6 linked regions of the Rattus norvegicus genome follow. The protein of the gene in region 6 purifies or fractionates together with the protein of the main gene of each other region. This does not show direct contact. Links are inferred from orthologs where the notes say so. Each region holds a gene or a part of one and is shown on either strand. Other genes may lie near its edges.

Evidence for each region.
Region 1: the proteins of Slx4 (region 6) and Pgam5 purify together in Homo sapiens (affinity purification with mass spectrometry; 4 studies listed by BioGRID and IntAct, with this or other methods). This does not show direct contact. The link is inferred for Rattus norvegicus from reciprocal best matches to the Homo sapiens genes SLX4 and PGAM5.
Region 2: the proteins of Slx4 (region 6) and Topbp1 purify together in Homo sapiens (affinity purification with mass spectrometry; 3 studies listed by BioGRID, with this or other methods). This does not show direct contact. The link is inferred for Rattus norvegicus from reciprocal best matches to the Homo sapiens genes SLX4 and TOPBP1.
Region 3: the proteins of Slx4 (region 6) and Kpna1 purify together in Homo sapiens (co-immunoprecipitation; 3 studies listed by BioGRID and IntAct, with this or other methods). This does not show direct contact. The link is inferred for Rattus norvegicus from reciprocal best matches to the Homo sapiens genes SLX4 and KPNA1.
Region 4: the proteins of Slx4 (region 6) and Slx4ip purify together in Homo sapiens (affinity purification with mass spectrometry; 6 studies listed by BioGRID and IntAct, with this or other methods). This does not show direct contact. The link is inferred for Rattus norvegicus from reciprocal best matches to the Homo sapiens genes SLX4 and SLX4IP.
Region 5: the proteins of Slx4 (region 6) and Rtel1 purify together in Homo sapiens (affinity purification with mass spectrometry; 3 studies listed by BioGRID, with this or other methods). This does not show direct contact. The link is inferred for Rattus norvegicus from reciprocal best matches to the Homo sapiens genes SLX4 and RTEL1.

Annotation. Positions count from the first base shown.
Region 1 is NC_086030.1:52,067,546-52,071,822, forward strand, and holds the start of Pgam5 (serine/threonine-protein phosphatase PGAM5, mitochondrial), read left to right. Parts: upstream 1-1,477; 5' UTR 1,478-1,557; coding exon 1,558-1,745; intron 1,746-4,235; coding exon 4,236-4,277. UniProt on the Homo sapiens protein: Mitochondrial serine/threonine phosphatase that dephosphorylates various substrates and thus plays a role in different biological processes including cellular senescence or mitophagy. Modulates cellular senescence by regulating mitochondrial dynamics.
Region 2 is NC_086026.1:112,794,291-112,797,790, reverse strand, and holds part of Topbp1 (DNA topoisomerase 2-binding protein 1), read right to left. Parts: intron 2,068-3,500; coding exon of another isoform or gene 1,991-2,067; exon of another isoform or gene 1,981-1,990; intron 1,538-1,980; coding exon 1,345-1,537; intron 1-1,344. UniProt on the Homo sapiens protein: Scaffold protein that acts as a key protein-protein adapter in DNA replication and DNA repair. Composed of multiple BRCT domains, which specifically recognize and bind phosphorylated proteins, bringing proteins together into functional combinations.
Region 3 is NC_086029.1:78,242,132-78,245,631, reverse strand, and holds part of Kpna1 (importin subunit alpha-5), read left to right. Parts: intron 1-929; coding exon 930-1,061; intron 1,062-1,807; coding exon 1,808-1,896; intron 1,897-2,228; coding exon 2,229-2,328; intron 2,329-3,036; coding exon 3,037-3,200; intron 3,201-3,500. UniProt on the Homo sapiens protein: Functions in nuclear protein import as an adapter protein for nuclear receptor KPNB1. Binds specifically and directly to substrates containing either a simple or bipartite NLS motif.
Region 4 is NC_086021.1:144,672,602-144,676,646, reverse strand, and holds the start of Slx4ip (protein SLX4IP), read right to left. Parts: upstream 2,801-4,045; 5' UTR 2,652-2,800; intron 2,506-2,651; exon of another isoform or gene 2,363-2,505; intron 455-2,362; exon of another isoform or gene 350-454; intron 1-349.
Region 5 is NC_086021.1:188,838,998-188,841,187, forward strand, and holds part of Rtel1 (regulator of telomere elongation helicase 1), read left to right. Parts: intron 1-201; coding exon 202-297; intron 298-1,266; coding exon 1,267-1,465; intron 1,466-1,635; coding exon 1,636-1,776; intron 1,777-2,190. UniProt on the Homo sapiens protein: A probable ATP-dependent DNA helicase implicated in telomere-length regulation, DNA repair and the maintenance of genomic stability. Acts as an anti-recombinase to counteract toxic recombination and limit crossover during meiosis.
Region 6 is NC_086028.1:12,053,091-12,056,185, forward strand, and holds the end of Slx4 (structure-specific endonuclease subunit SLX4), read left to right. Parts: intron 1-118; coding exon 119-221; intron 222-770; coding exon 771-1,184; intron 1,185-1,576; coding exon 1,577-1,928; 3' UTR 1,929-2,595; downstream 2,596-3,095. UniProt on the Homo sapiens protein: Regulatory subunit that interacts with and increases the activity of different structure-specific endonucleases.

The sequences.
Region 1 (4,277 bases), on a different chromosome or scaffold from region 6:
CAGTCTTGTCTATACAGCATACTCCAAGGCAGCCAACACTACACAGGATTCCATCTCAGAGGAAGCAAAAAGAAACAGAAAAAAAGAAAAAAGAAACAGGAAAAGACACCTAGTTCCAAGAAGACAGACTGTGGAAGTCCAAATAGTTTAAGGTATCTAGAATACAAATCATGGGACAGGGAGCCAATAAGTAAGCACTGTTAAGAACTATACTGTAATTTTGTTACAGATTTTGTTAGGCCTTTATGTATGCACCTTATTGATGCTTCCTGTAAAAGATTAAAGCATTTAACAGGTCCTGCTCTGGTGCTTGGCTGAGGCCCTGTCAGGAAAGCAGACTCTTACGGACAACTTGCCACACTGCCCTCCTGGCAGCCAGTTTAGAGAGATATCAGGGCCCACTATGCAGGCACCTCTGCAGCCACAGTGGACCACCAAAACTTCTGTTGAACACTTGCTTCAATCGTGATCAGTCCAGACAGCCTCCACTGACACTGAAAAGTAGTATGAACAAGACATGCATGCTGGTGAACGCCGATGACCTTGCGATAATCTCATCCAAGCCAGATGGAGAGCACTTCCTCGGTGGCTCTGCAGAAAGCCTGTGGTTGATGCAAACGCATGAAGGACTGCCAGGACTGGGACTAAGACCCTTGCCACATCCCTTTTCTCTTTATATATAAGCCAACTGAAGCTCACTTTCCAGTCAGTGGAAATACAGCTTCTTGTGTCCCTTTATTTGATATTACAATTTCAGGCCTTAAAGATTTTTGTAAATAGTTTAGTTTATTTTTATTAGTAGTAGGGTAGGCTGAGCTGGTTACACAAAAAGGCTGACTGAGGCTAGAGAGAATAGAGAGCTGAGGTTATAGAAGGCTGTGGAAAAAATGAGAGATTCTGTTGCTAAGAGTTTTAGGGCCATTTTAGTCATTGTCAAAGGCCAAGGGTCCTGAGAATGTCTGAGGTTAGGGGTTCATTCAGGAGCCTTATTACCTTATTATTACCAAATGCCTGCTGCTGTTCACTACTGCTCAAAGCTAAAAATTATAATAGCTGCCAAGTGCTGGGCCTGTCGGTAGTTAAAGCCCAGAGCAATAAGCCCAAGCCTATAAGTCACTGGGCCTGCTAGTCTAGTCCCTAGGCCTTGAATTTGGCAGGGTCTAGAACTGCCAGCACTGGAAGGGCAGGTGGACACTTTTCCTACACAGAAAGACCTGGTCATTTGATCAATAACAACTAGGCAGAGGCGCGATGGTAGGTGTTAGGAAGATGTATACACTTAAGGATTACAAAAGAAAACACAAAAAACTTTAGATCTAGAGCAAGAGCCAATCCTGAGGTTTTTCAATTCATATAAATCTAATGCCTGACTGACTTCGTCCCCCTGGAGTCTCACCCGCCAAAGGGCAGGCATCTGCGCCTTCTACCCTAAAACCACCGGCAGGTGGCACTCCTTATCGCGTTTCCTGCTGTTTCGGGGAAAGGGGTGGGACGTCCACTAGCCGGAAGCGGAAGCGTGTCCCTGGCATCCCGCCGTCCGGTCGTGCGGCTTGCGGCATGGCTTTCCGGCAGGCTCTTCAGCTGGCGGCCTGTGGTCTGGCGGGTGGCTCGGCCGCTGTTCTCTTCTCGGCGGTAGCGGTAGGGAAGCCGAGAGCTGGCGGGGATGCAGACACGCGCACGACAGAGCCGCTGGCCTGGACCGGAGCGCGCCCCGGGCACGGCGTCTGGGACTCCAACTGGGACAGGTGCGGGGACGGGAGGGTGGGGCTCAGGCCTGTGCCCTCACATGCATCTCGGTGTGGCAGATATCGGTGCCCTGAAGGGGACGGTGTGTGTTAGTGGGTCTTGAGTTTGTGTGAATCGGGGCGACGGCCCTTTGAGGGTTCCCATACCAGAAGGTGCATCTTCCGAGGGTCTTCGTGCCTGGACCATCCATCCCTCTGAGGGACCTATACTCGCTCGGACCCCATCCTCGAAGAGTCCTTGTTCAGAGACCGTCCACCCGAAGGACTTCGTCCCAGGACCTTTGTGGGCCTGAAATTCTAAAGGCTTAAATTTTACTTATAGTCAGGGTCTTGATCAGGTTTGCCTCACAAATTGTCCTGATGCAGCTTGGGGGAAAATTGGGACTACGAGCTTGCTTTTCCTCCAGAGTCAGAGAACCTGTGCTTGAAATAGAACCAAGGGAACCCATGGAAACCGGGTATAGTGGCGTAGGACTTTAATCCCAGCACTGGGAGTCAGAGGTAGGCAGATCCCTGAATTCTTGGCTCTGTAGAAAAACCCTGTCTCTAAAAAAGGAAAATGAAGTTACCTGATATTAAATGTTTCATTTTTTTTTTTTTGCCATGTCTGCATATGCAGATGGACCGGTAGGTACAGTGACTGGATCTTTGTTAGGTGGGGGAAGGATGCATGACAGACAGATGGATAAACAAGACAGGAAGGGACTAAAACTGGCATATCCACTTGGTTTCTTTCTGCTGTGCATTCCTCTCTGACAGTCCTCTTCAAATTTTGTCTGGTCCAGCCAGCCCCACACATTCCTGTATCTGCAACAAGACTTTGGCTTGGTTGTATATGGGGCTAACACCCCAGGTTAGCCTGCTCAGATAATGCTTGAGCCACCACCAAACTCTGCAAACCTTCCTCTTCACCATTGCTGTCATTTGTCCTGTTCCTGCCTCCTACATTTAGCTGAGTAGCTTCAGTTTCTTCAGCTCCTACATCCAGTCCACTAACTGCGGTCCTCAGCATTGTGATGGTCACTACCTCGTGACTAGTGAACATTTAAAGTGTGTTTAGTGTGACTTAGAAAAGAGCTCTATTTTTATTTAGTTTTAATTTAATTATAGTAATCCCTCTAATGCTGAAGGATTGGTTCCAGGGTCTCTGAACATATCAAACTCTGTGGATGTTCAAAATGATGAAGTATTTGCAGATAACCTAGACATCTAGCTTATCCTCCTGTATACGTTAAGTAATTCCTAGATTATTTACCACCCCCAATACAATAAAATTGCTACCTAAGTAGATGTTAAATTATATAGCTTGAGGTAAAAATCACATACAGAAAGGTCTTTTTAATTCAGGTGTGAACTTTTGAGTATTTTTGATGCCCGGTTGATTGAATATTGAGTATGGAATCTTCAGCTACAAAAGACCTAAGCATATTCAATTTACTTATTCAACCTGGCCTTTTGCAACCCTTCCTCCTCAGCTTTCCATGTGTGAGGAGTCCAGACTCATACTATGAGAAAATAGAGCCAAGGGCCCATGTCTGATATTTTTAATTTACATTAGGGATGTTTGTGCAAGCTTGTCCTCCTTGTGCTTAGAAGGCTGAAGTAGGGTTGCTGCGATGTCAGCCTGAGCTACACTGAGAGGGCCTGTCTTACCACCAACAAAAGGAGTGAATGAACAGCCATGGGCTGGAGAGATGGCTCAGTGGTTAAGAACACTGACTGCTCCTCCGTAGGTCCTGAGGTCAACTTCCAGCAACCGTATGATGGCTCACAACCATCTGTAATGGGATCTGTTGCTCTCTTCTGGTGTGTCTGAAGATAGCGGCAGTTTACTCATATGCATAAAATAAATAAATCTTTAAAAAGCAATGAAACAGCCCCATGACTACCGGAGTCATACAGACAGTCCTGTTCTAGGCTCTGTTGCAATGCAACTTTCCATTCTTACCCCTGTCCTATCACTGCTTGCATATTTGTGGCATTATTGACAGTTTTCCTTTTTTTCCTTCTCGTGCATGTGTGAGTCTGTGTGAGAGCCTGAGGCACATAATGGAAGTTCTTTCTTGATCATACTTCAGATTTATCGTTTAAGGCATGGTCTCTCAGTCAAGCCCAGAACTTGCTAATAGAAGTAGTCTGACTACACAGCTTCTTGTGGGCATCCTGCCTCCACATTCTGAGGGTGGAGTTATAGGTGGGTCACTATCCAGTATTTATGTGGCTTCTGAACTCCAGTCTTCCTGCTTGTATAACAAGCACTTTAACCTCTGAGCCATCTCCCCAGCCTGTCTTCACAGAAACATGAGCCTAAGGCTTCATGTTCTATGCACACATCTGTATCACCCAGAGCAAGGCTGGCCTTCGGGAAGAGTGAAGATGTGCTCTGTGAGGCTAGGCTCTCTGGGCTGGGCTTCCCCCCTGGCCTTTTCCCAAGCACTGAAAGGTGTCTTGGACAAGAGGTCACAAGACAAGACATACTTTCATAATTAGGCGAGAGCCACTGTCACTCATTAACCTGAAGAAAAGGAACGT
Region 2 (3,500 bases), on a different chromosome or scaffold from region 6:
CAAGGTCATCCCCTTGATCTGTAGTCACAGGCAGTTATGAGCATGTGTGTGCTGGGAACTAAACTTGGATCCTTTAGAGAGGAGCAAGCATTCTTTAACTATACTCTCTCTAGTCCCTTAAAAATATTTAAAATATTTTTACATTTATTTGTGTGTGTGTGTGTGTGTGTGTGTGTGTGTACATATGTGACACAGTGAGTTTATGTGGAGGTTAACAGGAGCTAGCTCTCTTCTTCCTCCTTGTGGAGCTACACAGTGAGACCTTGTCTTAAAAACAAACCAACTAACCAAGAGAGCCTTTTAGTCGCAAATGACTTGGCACGGAGTAAGATTCTATAATCTAAAACACAACCTGCTCTGTTAGGGAAAAGCCACTTTTCTCAGAATTCAACATTACCTCAAGGAAAACACAGAGTAAGACAAATGAAGTCAGCAGGCACCAGAACTCTACCGTACAGTTAGAGATCTGTCTTCTAGTAGGAAAATGCTATTGGTGGATCCAACACTTGGTAAACTGACATAAAAGACACCAAGTTTAAAGCCCACTTTGGCTACACAGCAATACAGAACGAGGGTGAAAGGTGGTCCAGAGGGGGAGGGGTGGTCTAATTCCAGCAGTTGGCAGGTTAAAGCAGGAGAACTGGGAGTTTAGAGCTAACACTAGTTACACAGTATTGCAGGCCAGACTACGATAAAACCTTGCCTCAAAAATATAAAGACAGAGAAAATACAGTTATATCTCCGAGCTGAAGTTATACTGCACTCAGAACTGTGGTCATCTTTCCTAAAACACAGATTTTAAAAAGTACATACAATTTAAATAAGAAATAAAAAGGAAGGAAAGGACGGCTGGAGACCTAGGTTCATATGTCCAATCCCTAGGAGCCGCTAGGGGTGAAAGGAGCTGACATCACAGGTCATCCTTTGACCTTGACATGGGTACTGTGGCATGCATGTCTCCATGAGCACACAGCACACACTCAAACACACGATAATCCTAAGTCACATACTTCAGTCAGAACTGCGCAGTGGCCTAAGCGAGAGAGAACACAGAAGACAACTGAGCAGCAACACACAAACCCAGAAGGCAGCGGGATAAAGCACGCTGCGTAGTTAAATAAAGCACCGGCATAAACTCCTTAATAGTCCAACTTCTGCTTCATTTTAAAATAAAAAAATAAAAATTAAAGTCCTGTGTGGTGGTACAAACCTTTCAGTCCTAGCACTTGGGAGGCAGAGGCGGATAGATCTCTGAGTTCAAGGCCAGCCTGAGGGGAAAAAAAGCCTAACCCGAACCCCAAGTCACCAGGGGTTTTCATCCAAGTGAGCCGCCACCACACGAACCTGAGCGCCTCCAAGACTCGGCTTCGTCCACTCCGAGCAGAGCGAGTGCTGTCAGGAGTTGAAGAGGCGCTGTTACAACTACTTCTTGACATGCAAGTCTTCTGGGCTGGTGTCCTCACGATGGAGGTTGCTGACATGATCTCTTGTAGTTGTTTCTGGAAGTTCTCTCTCATCTCCAAGGCCTGGGTCAGAGCTTGAAAGACAGTCAGTCGTCAATAACAATCAAGAGAAGTGTGTCCCCTCCTCTCCTTCTTCTCCCTCCCCCTGGCTGGATTTTGAAGATAGGATCTGAGTGTGGGGTTAGGCTGATCTCCCTCCCCATTGTGATCCCTGCCACAGTCTCTAGAGTTCTGGGATTTCAGACATGCATTACCATACAGTTACAAACGTCTCTTGTCAATCATATCTTAACTATTTTGTCTAGATCTGGTTAAATAAAAACAAAGTTGCCATTTACTGAATATTTATATAGGAATGCAAGGCTAAAATGTCACAAAACACAAAGGCAATCCTGAGGACTGTATCTGAAATACTGAAGACTGCCTTGGCTCAGTCCCTCTGAGTAGTGCCCTGCTTGCTTCTGATCCCTTCTCATTGATGCATACTACAAAGAGTCATATAGTCATTTGTATGTACCTGATTTTTTTCAATAGCTCTGAGGTTTATTTGCTTTGGGGGATGGGTCTTGCCATAGCTCAGACTGGTCTTGAAGGCCGGCTCCTCCTGCCTCAGCATCAAGAATAGGATTAGTGCTGTAAAGCACTGCCCAAGCTTTCACTAATCCCTCTTTGTCTTTCCTTTCCACTACAGACTAGACATTCAAGTAGATACCAAGTAGGAATGTTTGACACGAACAGAATGGAACAGGTAAGTGAGAAAGCAAGTTCTAATAGGCAGGCTGAATAAGGAAGCCAGAGAGTAACCTGTCAGAAGAGAACCCACACATCTAAATAAGGTAATCAGTGCAGCGCTATCTGTATTAGTAAGAAATTCAAAATAACTTGCTAATGCAAGAAACAGCAAAATAAAGCACAAGCCACACACTAAACCACCAAACAAAACCCAAGACTGAAGCAGCTCCCGATTCCCAGACATGGTCTATGGCTTCGGTGCACACCCTCCTGTGTGTGGAGTGCTGTCAACTCCTAAGAGATGAGGCCTAGCCTAAGGTAGCTGGGTCATGAGGAACACTGCCTGCCCCAGAAGCAATTAGTGCAGTTTTCAGGGGCCTCAGGCTGGTTTTGTTGTAGGTTGCTCCGCTGGTCTACCCTGCTTGCAGTCTTTCTTGTGATGACACTCACCCACTTGCACTCTTTCCCTTCCTGATAAACTCTCCTGACATACCAGAAGGTCTTCATCAGAGTCCAAGCAAGCTTAGACTTTCATTTTCTAAAGCTGTTAGAGCTAAAAACGTACCCTTTATCTAGGTTACCCCAGGTGTAGTTCTACAGCAACAGAAAACACTGAAACATTGCTCTTTTTTAGAAAAAAAAAGAAAAGAAAAGAAAAGGCTGTGAACCATGTATTAACAACTGTCCAAGTCTTCCAAATGATTCTGTTGGTCGGTCGCCTGTAGCCAGTGACCACTGATGTTGCTACTGTGTGCCCCACACCTACACAAGTGGCACACCTGACTGGCTGCTCCCCATCTCTTTCCTTCCTACGACTTCCTCAACCCCCAAGAAACAACAGTACTAAAACTAGCTTAATTAACATCCAGTGGCTTAAGTGCCAGGCGAAAAGAGTCACACTCCTCTCTTTAGCTCTAAATGACCAAGGTGAGTGAAAAAGGGATGTATGAAAGCCAAGTTAGGTCAAAGGCTATGCCTCTTATGCTGAACAGTCAAGCTGTGAATGCAAAGAGAAAATTCTCAGAAGAAATTCACAGTGCTACTCCAGCGAGCACACAGCTTCTCATGGACACGAGGCTGCAACTGACTGCCCTAAGCAGATGACTCAGACCGGAAGAAGATGCCTCTCCAGGGCTATTGGAGAAGTCGGTGTCTGGCTTCAAAGCTAGACGGCCAACCCAGTTCTTCTATTAGCGGCAAAATGCACGTGGGACTTCAAGTCAAAACCAACAAGTGGAAAGTGCGTTTGGCTTGTGGTGCAGGTCTTTAATCCAGCACTTGGAAGAAAGAGGACGGTGATCTCTG
Region 3 (3,500 bases), on a different chromosome or scaffold from region 6:
ATTAACCTAATAAAATTCAGGAGTTTTTTTTTTGTTTGTTTGTTTTGTTTTTGTTTTTTGTTTTTTTCCCGGAGCTGGGGACCGAACCCAGGGCCTTGCGCTTGCTAGGCAAGCACTCTACCACTGAGCTAAATCCCCAACCCCAAAATTCAGGAGTCTTGATTGAATTACTTTTGGATTTCTTAATGTTAAGCTAAAGAGAAAATTAAGAATCTCTGAAATTGGTAATAGCTGTAATTGTTGGCCATAAGTTCATTTCTCCTTACCAGTGCTGTAATACTAGGCCGACTTTTCCTCCGTTCAACTTTGCCACCACCTCTTCATCTCCCCCCCCCTCCTCTTTTTCTTTTTTCTTGTAAGAAACTTACCTTTAGCTGCTGGGTATAGTGGCACTTGTTTTTAATCCTGACACTTGGGAGGCAGATGCAGGCAGACCTCTTGATTTCAAGGCCAGTGTGGTCTACATAGAGAGCTCCAGGCCATTTCATAATCATCTAGGCCTGTCTGTGTAAGCTTATGATGGTTTCTTGTGACTGTCTAGAGATTATGTGTACAATATGTATATTAATGTGTTTATTCCCTTTTAACCTTTTAATGAAATGGTATTTTAACTGTATTGAAGTATATTATTTGTCATTTTGTTCCTTTCATTAGAGATCATTTCATATAAACTTATGAAACACATTTTTTTCCCCTGTGGTTTCATGGTAATTATACTTTGGTCTGAAATTTTAGATACCTTTAAATATTCCTTTCATAGACTGAGGTATTCTGGAAACTATTTTAAATGAACATGGTATTTACAATATGCCAATAATAGTCCCAGTCTGACTCCAGACTTTTATTTTATGTTCAAAATACTGTATTTCTTTATGTAAATAACCTTCTAAATTTTAATAAGGTAATGGAACTTACTTTTGTCTTTGTAGTTTGAATCAGCTTGGGTCCTGACAAATATTGCTTCAGGAAACTCTCTTCAGACCCGGATTGTGATTCAGGCAGGAGCTGTTCCTATCTTCATCGAGTTGCTTAGCTCAGAGTTTGAAGATGTCCAGGAGCAGGTAAGGTCTCAGCAGTCACACAGATAAGAGAGCTCACATTCTCGTAGCCACACCCAGCTTCATTTAGATTACTCCATCACAGTGAGTCATAGCTTGTTTAAATAGGAAAAATCCTCTAGTATTTCCCTTTCAACCATGGCATTCTTGCAGCTTTTAGCTGTCTTCTTTTTAAAATAAAAATTGTACAGTGTGGCATGTACACCTGTGAGACCATTGTTATTAAACTTTCACAAGTTTAATAAACACCTATATTTTTATTTTGGTTATGTGCTTAAGAGTTTTCTATTAAAAGCAACCTTAAGTACATTTTTAATCTACCAAGTAAGCCATTTAAATCCTTGTTCTGTGCAGAGGACTATAAAATATTACTTATGAGGGAGGATGGGATCCTATAAAAATAATTGCCTCCAGACTGGGGGTACATCTTATTAGTAGTGGGGCAATTGTTCAGTGCCAGCAATTGTGTGAAGTCCTGAATTCAATTCCCAGCTCTGGGAAAAGTTCTCTTACTTGTAAGCTTTCACTTTAGTGGAACATTTCCTTTTGCTTTTCCACATAGTCACATATTTTCTAACTCTAATCCTGGAACTGCTTTGACTCCCTGATGAGTGGTTTTAAGAGTTAATAATAGTCTTTATATAAAATGTTGGTGAACTATTATTGATTTTGTAAAATGTTACTATGGTATGCTGGCATCCCTTTTAAAGAATTGTGAGGGAATGAAAGTATACAACTTTACTTCACAGGCAGTCTGGGCTCTTGGCAACATTGCTGGAGATAGCACCATGTGCAGGGACTACGTCTTAGACTGCAATATCCTTCCCCCTCTGCTGCAGTAAGTGTCGTCTTCTTCCTTTTTTCTTTTTTTTCTTTCTTTTTTTTTTTTTTTGATATGAGAAGTATTATATCTTGGGACATCATTTTGGATTTCCTAGTGTTATTTTGATTTCCAGTATCTTGTTACATTGTTAGGGTGATGTCTCTTACTGAAATTCTGAAATAGTGAATAAAAATTAGTGAAGTTTATCTTCAAAGAGTGAGTAATGTAGGAAAGGGATGAATCTTTATTGTTCTGGAGAAAAGTTAGAGAATCCTTTATCAGTAGTATTAATTCCTTTCTAGAGAATTAGTATCTTAGAACTTACCATGGAACCATTATACTTGTAGGTTATTTTCAAAGCAAAACCGCTTGACCATGACCCGGAATGCAGTGTGGGCTTTATCTAATCTATGTAGAGGGAAGAGTCCACCTCCAGAATTTGCTAAGGTAAATACTACGCTTGTGGGAAATTGTTAGGGAATACTGCTCTTAAATATTAATGTTTACAGAAAGGGATTTTTGTTTGCTTTGTGTTTGTTTTTCAAGATAGGGTTTCTCTTGTAGCTTTGGTTGTCCCAGAACTTGAGTCCAAGGCTGTCCTTGAACTCACAGAGAACTGCCTCCCTTTGCTTCCTGAGTGTTGGGATGACATGAACCATCACCACTTGGCTAGGACAATTTTTGATAAAATTATTTAGAGTGTTAGAAAATGTACTGGTTTGTAGAGAAAATGCTTTTGGTAGTTTGTTTTCGTTTTTAATTTAGTGTAGTTTCTCAGTGCTGGGATGAAGCTCTATGTTACGTTTAGGGCTGTAGCAGTTTTTGTGGATAACAAAGTTCTGCAACAGAAGTTCTCAGCAGTAGTGTTTGTGGAAGTTCCTTTACCTCCTTGTTGGAAGTGTGTATTAAGGAAGAATGCATAAAAGTTTTCTTCTTGAAATCAGTTTTCTTGTGTTCTGACATCCTCAGTTTAGTAAACTGAATACCTATTGACCACATTGCCAGAGATAGAAATGTCCTTCAGAGACTTGACGGTTCCTAACTAGAAGTGTAACTCACCCAGCATCTATCTGGTAAGCTTCTTGAGAGTCTTATCTCACTCCAGCAGTTGTAATCATCTTTTTTTTCTTTTCTTTTTTTTTTTTTTTAAACCAGGTTTCTCCCTGTCTGAATGTCCTTTCTTGGTTGCTGTTTGTCAGTGACACTGATGTACTGGCTGATGCTTGCTGGGCTCTCTCATACCTGTCAGATGGACCCAATGATAAAATCCAAGCAGTCATCGATGCAGGAGTATGCAGGAGACTTGTGGAGCTTCTGATGTAAGATGATCTTGAAGGAAGTGTCTGAGCACTCCTGCTTGTCTCCTTCCTGTTGCCATGATTCACAGTCTTAGAAGTGGACTTTGAGTCTCTGAATCTTTAGCTAATCCTTAGAAGAAAATGGAGCCACAATATGATGTTGAAACAGTAAAGTTATAAGCAGCATGAAATTAATTGGTGTACAAAACAGTTTTGTGTGTTATAGCTAATCGCAGACTAATTGTAGATCAGCAATGTAGTTTTGTTACAAGTTAAAGGCAGCATGGTGCTACTAGGGTCCAAAGAAGTAAAAATCTGAGA
Region 4 (4,045 bases), on a different chromosome or scaffold from region 6:
TCTTTTTTTTTAAATACAGAGTTGGACCCAGGACCACATGCATATTAGGCAAGAACTCTGCCACTTAGCTACATCTCCAGCCACAGGTCTTGCATTTTTAAAATGACATATCTTATTCATAAAAAAATTAAGGCATAAACTGTATGAGAGAAAGGTAAAATCCCAACACAAAATGTTTTACCACTGTACTCTTCTAGTTTCATTGTACATGAACAGCAAGCACTAAATAACTTTTTTTTTCAATTCAAATAAGCTGGCAAAGAACAAGGTTAGGTGCAAATGAGCACACTGAAAACAAAAATCTCAATGGTTATCAACTAGTGAATTGTGCAGATGACTGTGTACCCACATACTGATGGCTGTCAGCAATTCAAACTGGCTGAAGAGTCTGTGAAGCTCCTGCCTAAGAGGCACCAAACCCTGACTTCAATCTGCAGTACCACGAAAGAAAAAACTAGAAGGAAAGAAGAAAATGAGCTATCAATATATCGAAGATGGCTCTCAAAATAGTTACACATACTCCCCCACACCCCACAAATAGAAACATGTAGTACAAGATTCCTTTGAAATAATGCTTCTGTCAGCAGCTAGAGGAAGTACCAAGGAACACAACCAAACTTTGGAGGGTGAAGGGTATGTTCATTATTTGATTGTGATGATGAGTCACCAGTGTAAAGCATACCCATGGAACATTTAAAAAAATGTTATTTGCACCACAATTTTATCTTAATAAGGCTATGTTTAAAAGAAGACCTTTTGATTTAAAAAGTGTACTTCTGGCCTTGGATAATATATTTAGATCACCTTCTTTTTCAAACAGATGCACAAAAGTAGAAAGCTGTAAAGTTTCAGTCATGGTAATATATAAACAAAATCTTAATAATCCAAGCTTTTTATAAAAACAACTATAGCTAATACTTTCATAGCTGTTACTATATGCCACATACTTCTTAAAAGATTTTTATTTTTTTAATTATATGTACAGGGGGTGTGCCTCTGTGCCAGTTTGCACATGTGAATGTGAATGTGAATGTAGGCACCTGCAGACTTTGAACACCTTGAGTCCCCAAGAAGCTGGAGTTATAGGCAATTGTGAACTGCCTGACATAGGTGATGGGAACTAAACTCAGGTTCTCTAGAAGAACAGCATACAGCTCTTAACTGCTGAGCCATCTCTCCAGTTCATGCCAGGTATTTTTAAGAAGCTCATTTCTTGTATTAACTTACCTAACTCTCACAGGAGTCCTACCTTACAAGTTAGGAAACTAAAGCCAAGAGTAAGTGATTATCTTTTAGATCCCAGAGCTGGAACTGGTCAGTGAAGGAAGTAGGATATAAAGCCAGGGAGGACGGTTTGAGAACTGATTTTCTTACCCATGTTCACTCTATCACTATCCTTAGTAGCAGCATTGCAAAAACTGCTAGCAAGCAATATTTCAGTATAATAATGTTTTCCTTCATACTCATAAAACATTAGTGTTAGACTCCGCAAAACAAGTGGCATTCATTCTTCTTTCCCACTTAAGACTGTTGAAAAGACATATATGGCAAAGCAAAAATTACTGGGAAGCTGTTTGACAAGGTAACCAATCACTGGGAAGCTAGCTCATCACCCACCCAATCTAATATTCCTCTTTATCTCCATAGGATTTTAAGCAAAGCCAACAAGGAAGGTGAAAAGCAGTCTTACTCCTAACAGCATGAAAAACATAAATGTCTCAAATACCTTAGTATCCTCTAAGCACCATATAGTCTTGATTTCTACCTGCAACTGGTCTGAAGTCTGGTTTAGAAGCTCCCCGGGTGATTGTCATGGGCAGCACAAGTTGAGAACTCCTGATATTGATTTCGCATACAGAAAGACACAGAAGAAAGCTTGGAGCTACCAAAAGCTAAGGTAAGCCACAGTCCAAAGTTTCCAAATCAATATTACATTGTGTCCGAGTGCAACTTCTACTCATTCCAAGTAGCATGCTCCCAGAAGATGCTGACCTGGCTGGTAGATGACTACTCTGAGCAGCAAGGCCACACTAACTGGAGTATTAGCCTCTTGACTTACAATTATGGTTATATACAGTGCCCAAGAAAAGGAGAAGTGAGAACATGAAGTTGCTTGTCCAGCAGTGTTAAGAAACATTAGAACATTATGTTCTTGGTCCCAGCTTAGCATGTATCAAAGCAAGTGAATGAAGTGAATGAAAAAGGATTGAGTTTTTGTTTTGCTTTGTTTTCAAGTTTACTTCTATATTTTATAGCACAGAACTAAGGATTCAACAAATGCAATGTATGAACGAATGAATGAATGAATGGGAAGAATATACAAACATAAAAACTACATCACATCTCTGGGAGCTATATTTACCTCTATTGATGCAGAAAGCCATACATTGATGAAATGATAAAATTTGCTGTTCCATTCATTTGGCTATTTTATTCAATGGAAATTCCCTCAACGTTGTTGGCCCTTTAAATCTCCGTCTCCCTGCACCCTGGTGTTTAACAGTTCTAATGGAAAGAGAAGGAAAACCTACGAGAAAAACTGTGGAAAGTCCCAAAATCCAAAGGAGAAAAATATAGTGGTATATATAAATAAGATGGGCAAACATTTCAGTCCAACTGAGGGAACAGCTAGGATGTCAGAAGTGTCTTACCTATGGTGGCAGGAGGTGGGTTCGGGCTTTATATGTGTTATTACTGTCCAGGGTCACTGGTGGACTAGCACCTGGATGTGAAAACTCAGACTAAAAGGCGGCGGGCCAAGCTTCAGAAGCTTTGGCCTACTTCCTGTTTCCCAGTGTCCCTCGCGCGTTTGAGAATGCAACCGGCGCCCAAACACAAGATGGCATGACGGACTTCACACACTTAGAAGCCAGTGCCAGGACCTACGATGGCGGCGAAGCCCTGGATAAGGTAACAGAATAGCCAGAAGGAACTGCCCAAACGAAAAATGGCTCGCGTCGATGATATCAAAGCTTTATGGAGACCAAAATAAAGATGGCGGCCAAAGCGGATTTTTTTTTTTTCTTAAAGAAGCTGGAAATGCCATGAATACGATTGGCAGATAATGTATCACTGAAGGTCAACGATACGTAGTGATGGACAACAACAAAAGCCGTACTTTCCATGGTATCACAAAACTATAGGGCAGGTGTAGAAAATATTTTTAACGAGGAATATTAAAAGGTTGAAAAATAAAGGTGATTTTCACAGGGTCAGGGAAAAAGTAATTAAAATATGTTTAAACATAATTCCATAATGTTTCGTGTGGCTCAAGAGAACAAAAGACTTATCCCTGAAGAAGAAAAAAAAAAAGAATGGCAAAACCAAGGAAATTAATCAACCGGATCCGGCACTGAATTGGAAACTCCCAACTTCTGCCAAACCAGATCCTTAGACTGGGCGGAAGTTCCCTGCAAGGCGACAGGCTCTGACTGCGCATGCCCGCTCTCCGACGTCTTCGCCGGACCGCAGGGCGGAGCTACTTTCTACAGTTCAGGTAGTCCTGAGAGAGGTGGGAATTGACAAATGAGTGACAGAACGAGGCGCCTTATGATTGGTCAGAGCAGGAAAAGCCACAAGAATGGTGGTAGCTTCATTCATTCTACAAATACCTTTTGAGAGAGCAGAGAGCCGCAAGCTCTGTCGCCTTCTTGGCGCTGTGATGTGTTTTTATACCTTTTCCGTTTTGGTAGTTTGCACAGACAAAATACACGTCGGCCCCGTAAGGTTTCCGGTGACGGCCGCAGCTTTTCTCTGCGGGAGCTGCAGGCAAACCCCGGAAAAGGGGTGCGCGTGGAGTTGCGCATGCGCCTTCCCGCCGCGCAGGGCAAAGGTGGTGGCGCTCTGGTGAATGGTTGGTTGCTGTGCAAGAGCGTTTTCTGGCTTTTGGTGGCGAAGGCGGCCTGGCCGCGAGGTGCAGCTGCTGGTGGGCAGGTGAGAGGGTTCAAGCCGCCGGTGGAGAAGCCCCCTGTGGCCCTGCTGCGTCCCCACATGGGAAGTGGCCGTGACCAAGGGTATTTGGGGGCGGGGATACAGAGGCACCTAG
Region 5 (2,190 bases), on a different chromosome or scaffold from region 6:
CCCTCTCAATACCTGCAGACAAGGCCAAGGGGCATGACATAAAAGGGCCAGAATTTCAGCATTGCCACCAGAATTAGGGTATGACCTTTCCCTGCATCCCCTTTTCAAGTCTCTATTCAGGACACAGACAAGGATCCTGAGAACCCAAAAGGTACTTTGGAAACTGGGTTTGGGTTGGGACCATAGCTCTGTTTCCCTCAGGCACTCAGCTCCTCCACCCCATCTCTCCGGTGTGAAAAGAGGCTGTCCGTTGAGCAAAGAGGAGGAAAGAAGAAAGTCAGGCTGGTCAACCATCCGGTATGTTAGTGTCTCCTGCAGCTAAGATAGCTGCTTATGGGCACATGTGAGAATCTTGCCTCTGGTGCCTATTGCCCCTAAGCAAGGGGGTAGCCTCCAGTTTGCCATTCTTTCTCTAAAAAGACAATCCCGCCTTCCCATTTTTTTTTTTTTTTTTTTTTTTAGTTTGAGACAGGGTTGTAAAAAGGCTGGCATTGAATTTACTATGTAACAAGAATGACTTTGAACTCTTGATCATCCTCTTGCCTCTACTTCCCAACTGCTGAGATTACATGCGTGTGCCACTGTACTCAGCCTGCTCAAGAGATCTTTTTCTTTTATGCTGGAATCTAGCCTAACCCTTAGGATTATTTGGTTTGGGGTCTATGGTTGTGATTCCCTCCACCATAATGAACAGTGGCCTGATGGTGGCTCTTTCTGAGTGGACACTGAATTATCTGTGTGAGGAGGTACCGTGTGTTCTTAGTCTCAGATGCAAAGTTTAGTTACATCCTAAGCCATTAACCCCTACCTGCTGGAAAGGTGGCTTTTGTTCTTGTCCAGCTTATAAGACAATTCAAACAGTGCCCAGGAGGGCTGTTGCATCTGGTAGTACACTAGATACGGAGGGCCTGAGCCTGTTGAAGGCTGGAAATGGTAGGGGTGGGAGCTGTCTTACATAGTTCTTTATAGATCTGAGATGCACACAAGTGGAGTGCAGCCTGTTGAGAAGTGCCCTTCTCTACAGGTACATCTGCTGTGGGGTCATATAGGTTCCCTATAGGTTTCCAACTGCTTTTGGTGTGATCTCAGACAGGCCTGAGCTTCACCACATACCAGAACTGGGTCTTGTTTCTCTAGCAGTGCTCTGCTTTTTGCCCTGGTAGATAGTTCACAGGCAATAGCCTGAATGGCCCCAAACTCTGTACTGCCTCCAAGGCAGGAGGAAAGGGCTGGCTCCAATAGGGCTCTTGGTCATATTTCTTCTAGGAGGAACCAGTGGCTGGCACACAGGCAGGCAGAGCCAAGATGTTCATGGTGGCCGTGAAGCAAGCACTGAGCCAAGCTAACTTTGACACCTTTACCCAGGCCCTGCAGCACTATAAGAGTTCTGATGACTTTGAAGCCCTAGTGGCCTCTCTCACCTGCCTCTTTGCTGAAGACCCCAAGAAACACACCCTACTTAAAGGTACCCTGGTTTTCAAAATTCTGCTATAGGGTTAACACCACTGCAGTGGGGGTGGGACTGGTTATAGGGCCCAGGGTTGACTGCTTTCCAGAGAAACGGCCTAGTAGTTAAGCCATGGTCCAGAGTAATAGTATATGGACTCTATAGACTCAGACAACTACTTCCCACAGGTTTCTACCAGTTTGTACGACCCCACCACAAGCAGCAGTTTGAGGACATCTGCTTCCAGCTAACAGGCCAACGATGTAGCTACCAGCCAGGAAACAGCCTTCCCTTTGGAGAGCAAGCACAGTCAACTGCCAGTAAGCAAGGTCCCAGGCTAGACACACAACCTCAGATTCAAAGGGCAGTTTATACTAGAATGGGTTTAGTAGGCATCCCTCGTCTCTTGCTTGGCTTCTTTAACCAATGTTCTCCCAGATTCTGTCTCCAAAGGGTAGCTCTGTTTGTTGGACCTGCCCCTAGGGAACTCATGCTAGTGTCTTGGCAGCTGTGTACCTGTCCTACTTCTGTCCTGACTGAACAGCTGAGCTGGCCCCTCCACAGAGCAGTACCTGTGCAGTGCTTTATGTAGGGCAGGTGTGTTAGAGGGAACTTATTCATCCACAGAGCAGTATTTGTTCCAGTGCTTTACGCATGCAGGTATGGCAGAGGGAAAACTTACCCTTTGGGCTTAGTACTTATGCCCCTAAGCAGCCCCTGACCTAAGACAGTCAGGTGGGTCT
Region 6 (3,095 bases):
CCTTGGGCACAGTGTTGATTGGGGTCTCTCCTTTTCCATGGTGACACTTCTGGGGCAAAAGGTGGTGGCAGACCCATGCCTCTTACACTAAATCATGTGCTTCTTGTGTTTTATCCAGAAGGTGCTAACCAGAGAAAGAACTTGCCCCCCAAAGTGCCTGTAACCCCAATGCCAAGGTATTCGATCATGGAGACCCCAGTGCTGAAGAGAGAACTGGACAGGTTGGTAGTGACTCCGACTTCCTCGTAGGTGGTCTCCTGCGAAGAACCAGGCCGGGCAAGTGGGATGACCCAGCACTTGACCCTTAGCCCGGGGAGGAATTCCTGCAGTTTGCTCTGCATAGACTCGAGTGGGTTGAGTGGCTGGGCTTTTCCACGTCCTTACCAACCGTGAGCTCCTAGCGCTGACAGACGACTCCTGTGGTTACTCCATGCTGGTAGGAATGGAGCCCTAGCCGTGCCAGCCAAGTAAGGAGACTTAATTTTGTACCACGATGTGAAAACTGCCACATCCCGAGCAGTGGTGCTCCTCAGTCTCAGATACTTGGTGAAGTCAGTGCTCCCACTGTCCCAGGACACTGGGGACATTTCTGGCATGGGTAGCCTTCAGAGGAGGCTTGGTTGGCATGTGGCCACATGGTCAGCTTTGCACACCTAAGCAAGTCGGGCTTGTGAAACTTGAGTCCACTAAAGCCACACGTTACTCTGCAGCAGAGTGTGGTGGTAGGGCCTTGCTGCTGGACGTTGATGTTCATCTCTTTCCACATGCAGGTTTGGAGTCCGTGCTCTGCCCAAACGCCAGATGGTTCTAAAACTGAAGGAGATTTTCCAGTACACTCACCAGACTCTGGAGTCAGACTCTGAGGATGAGATCCAGTCCTCCCAGGTACCCCCAGGGGTAGCTCGCAGCCAGGCATCGAACACTGAGACCTGCAACCCTTCAAGGTCAGGAAGTTACACCCAGCTCAAGGCCACTGCAGGTCTCCGGACTCAAAGATCCAAGGGCCCCAGTAAAAGGAAGAGCCTTCAACATCAGGAGGAGCAGCTCGGTGAAAGCATTTCCCACCCGAGCAGGTCACCAGCTGGGGAGCCTTCACGCCCTGATGGTGACGCCCAGCTCCCAGCCTCCCAGGAGTGCATGGCTACCTCTGTGGATGGCAGCGACAACTCCTTTAGCTCTCAGAGGTAATGGATGCAGCAGGGTCTGTCACACTGTGTGTCCTGTGAATGGTGGGTCTGAAAGGGCATTAGAGAAGCCTAATGGCCAGTGTCCGAAAGCACGTGATTTCTGTTCTCTAGGACGCCCACATGGCTTACGTGTTCATTCCGAGTCCCCACAGGCCTGAGGAGCCCCGTAGTTTCCTTAGATGCCTGTGCTTTCTGGGTGGGATTGGGAGGCAGATCCCACCTAGACTGGCCTGGCCAGGGAACCAAGAACCACAGAGACCTGTAGGGCACCATCAAGGAGTCTTGTCACGTGTCAGGCCCAACAGAACCATGGAAAGTCATCCCTCAAAGGGGTTCCTGGTCTTGGGAGCTGAGAAAAAGGTGTTACATAACACCATTGTTCTTTCCAGCTCCTCTGGTGAGTTTGGGGCTGCCTTGGAGTCTGTAGGCGAAGACAAGGATGAGGAGGATGGCGTCACCGCGTCACAGGTAGCGATGCAGGCCCCAGACACAGAGGAGGCGGTGAGGCGCTACATCTGCTCGCAGCCTGCCCTGCACAGGAAGGTCCTGATGTACCAGCCTCTGCAGCTGGCTGAGCTGCAGGCTGAGCTGAAGCAGAACGGCATTCCTGTGGCCATGGGCAAGCTGCTGGACATCCTGGATGCTCAATGTGTCACCTTCACGACTGCTGCCGCCCGCAAGGAGAAGCTCAGACAGAAGAGGCGGCAGCCCTCGGGCCGAAAGAAAAAGGATCAGAAATGACCGTCCTCCACCCAGTTAGACCTGCCAGAGGCCTGAGCACCTAGTGTAAGGGAGGCCTCCACAGTATGTCGTAGGACGTGGACCTGTGTCTGTGTAAAGGACAAGAAGTCTTCTGCACTCTAACTGTGTGTGTCACCCTTGGTCTCAGAGCAGACCCTCCCCCCTCAGCCAGCACTAGTTTTCCCCCTTTGGCCCAAGCAGGGTCCCCATCCTATGTGTACCTGAAAGGCAGTGGGCCATACCAGCTGACCAGGCCAAGACCCAAGCCTCTTCTCTTGCCAGTGTCCAGCACAGCCAAGCACACCACGGCGGACCAGACAGGATGGGCAGCCTGCACCACTATTGTCATAGGTGCTCTTCCGCCCTGTGCCTGCCCAGACACTTGCCACTGTCACCAGCATTCTTCAAGTAGGACTGTGAGTAGGGCCCAGTACAGCTTTGAAGACCCCCAAAGTAAGCATGTTTGTGGGCTCTGCCCATTTGTGTTAGGCCTCTTTGACCCAGTGTGGACTCTGGGACCAGAAAAAACCCAGAAGTTTGGATTTCTACAGCTTGTGAATGTCCTTATGTGTTTTAAATACAGTGAAGTTGTTTTATATGATGTGCAATAAAAAACAAAGAAGGCTTTATTTAAAAAAAAAACAATAAACTTAGACACTCCTCTCTGGGAAAGCTGTGGGGAACACACAGTGAGCTGGGGCCCTCCGCCCTGCCGCCCACCAACGCCTTTGCACGTGTTCTGACCTTGACTGCTTACTGTCCGCTGATGTACATCCCTAAGAACACATGCAGATGCCACTTGTTACTGTCTGCACAGGCACTAACTCCAGCTGCTGCTGCTCAGGGGAACAGGCCAGGGACAGTCTCAGTGTCACCTGGAGTGTCACAAGTGCCAGGCTGGGCCTGTTGGACCTACTGAATCAGCTTGCTTTGTTAACACTGACCTAGAGTTGTGCCAGGCCACGTCGAAAGAAAGATCAGCCAGCCATTCTTTTAGGAGCTGCAGTGTGGCTTGGTGATAAAGTATACCTAAGGTTCTGTTCAGTTCCTAGCACTACGAGAAAGCCATGACATCAAGGACAGATTCCTGGGAAGGATTTATGAGCTGATCTTAGAGGCCAGGGAGGTCAGAACAAAGCTTGGTGTTTGTGGAATGTGTCCTGGCCA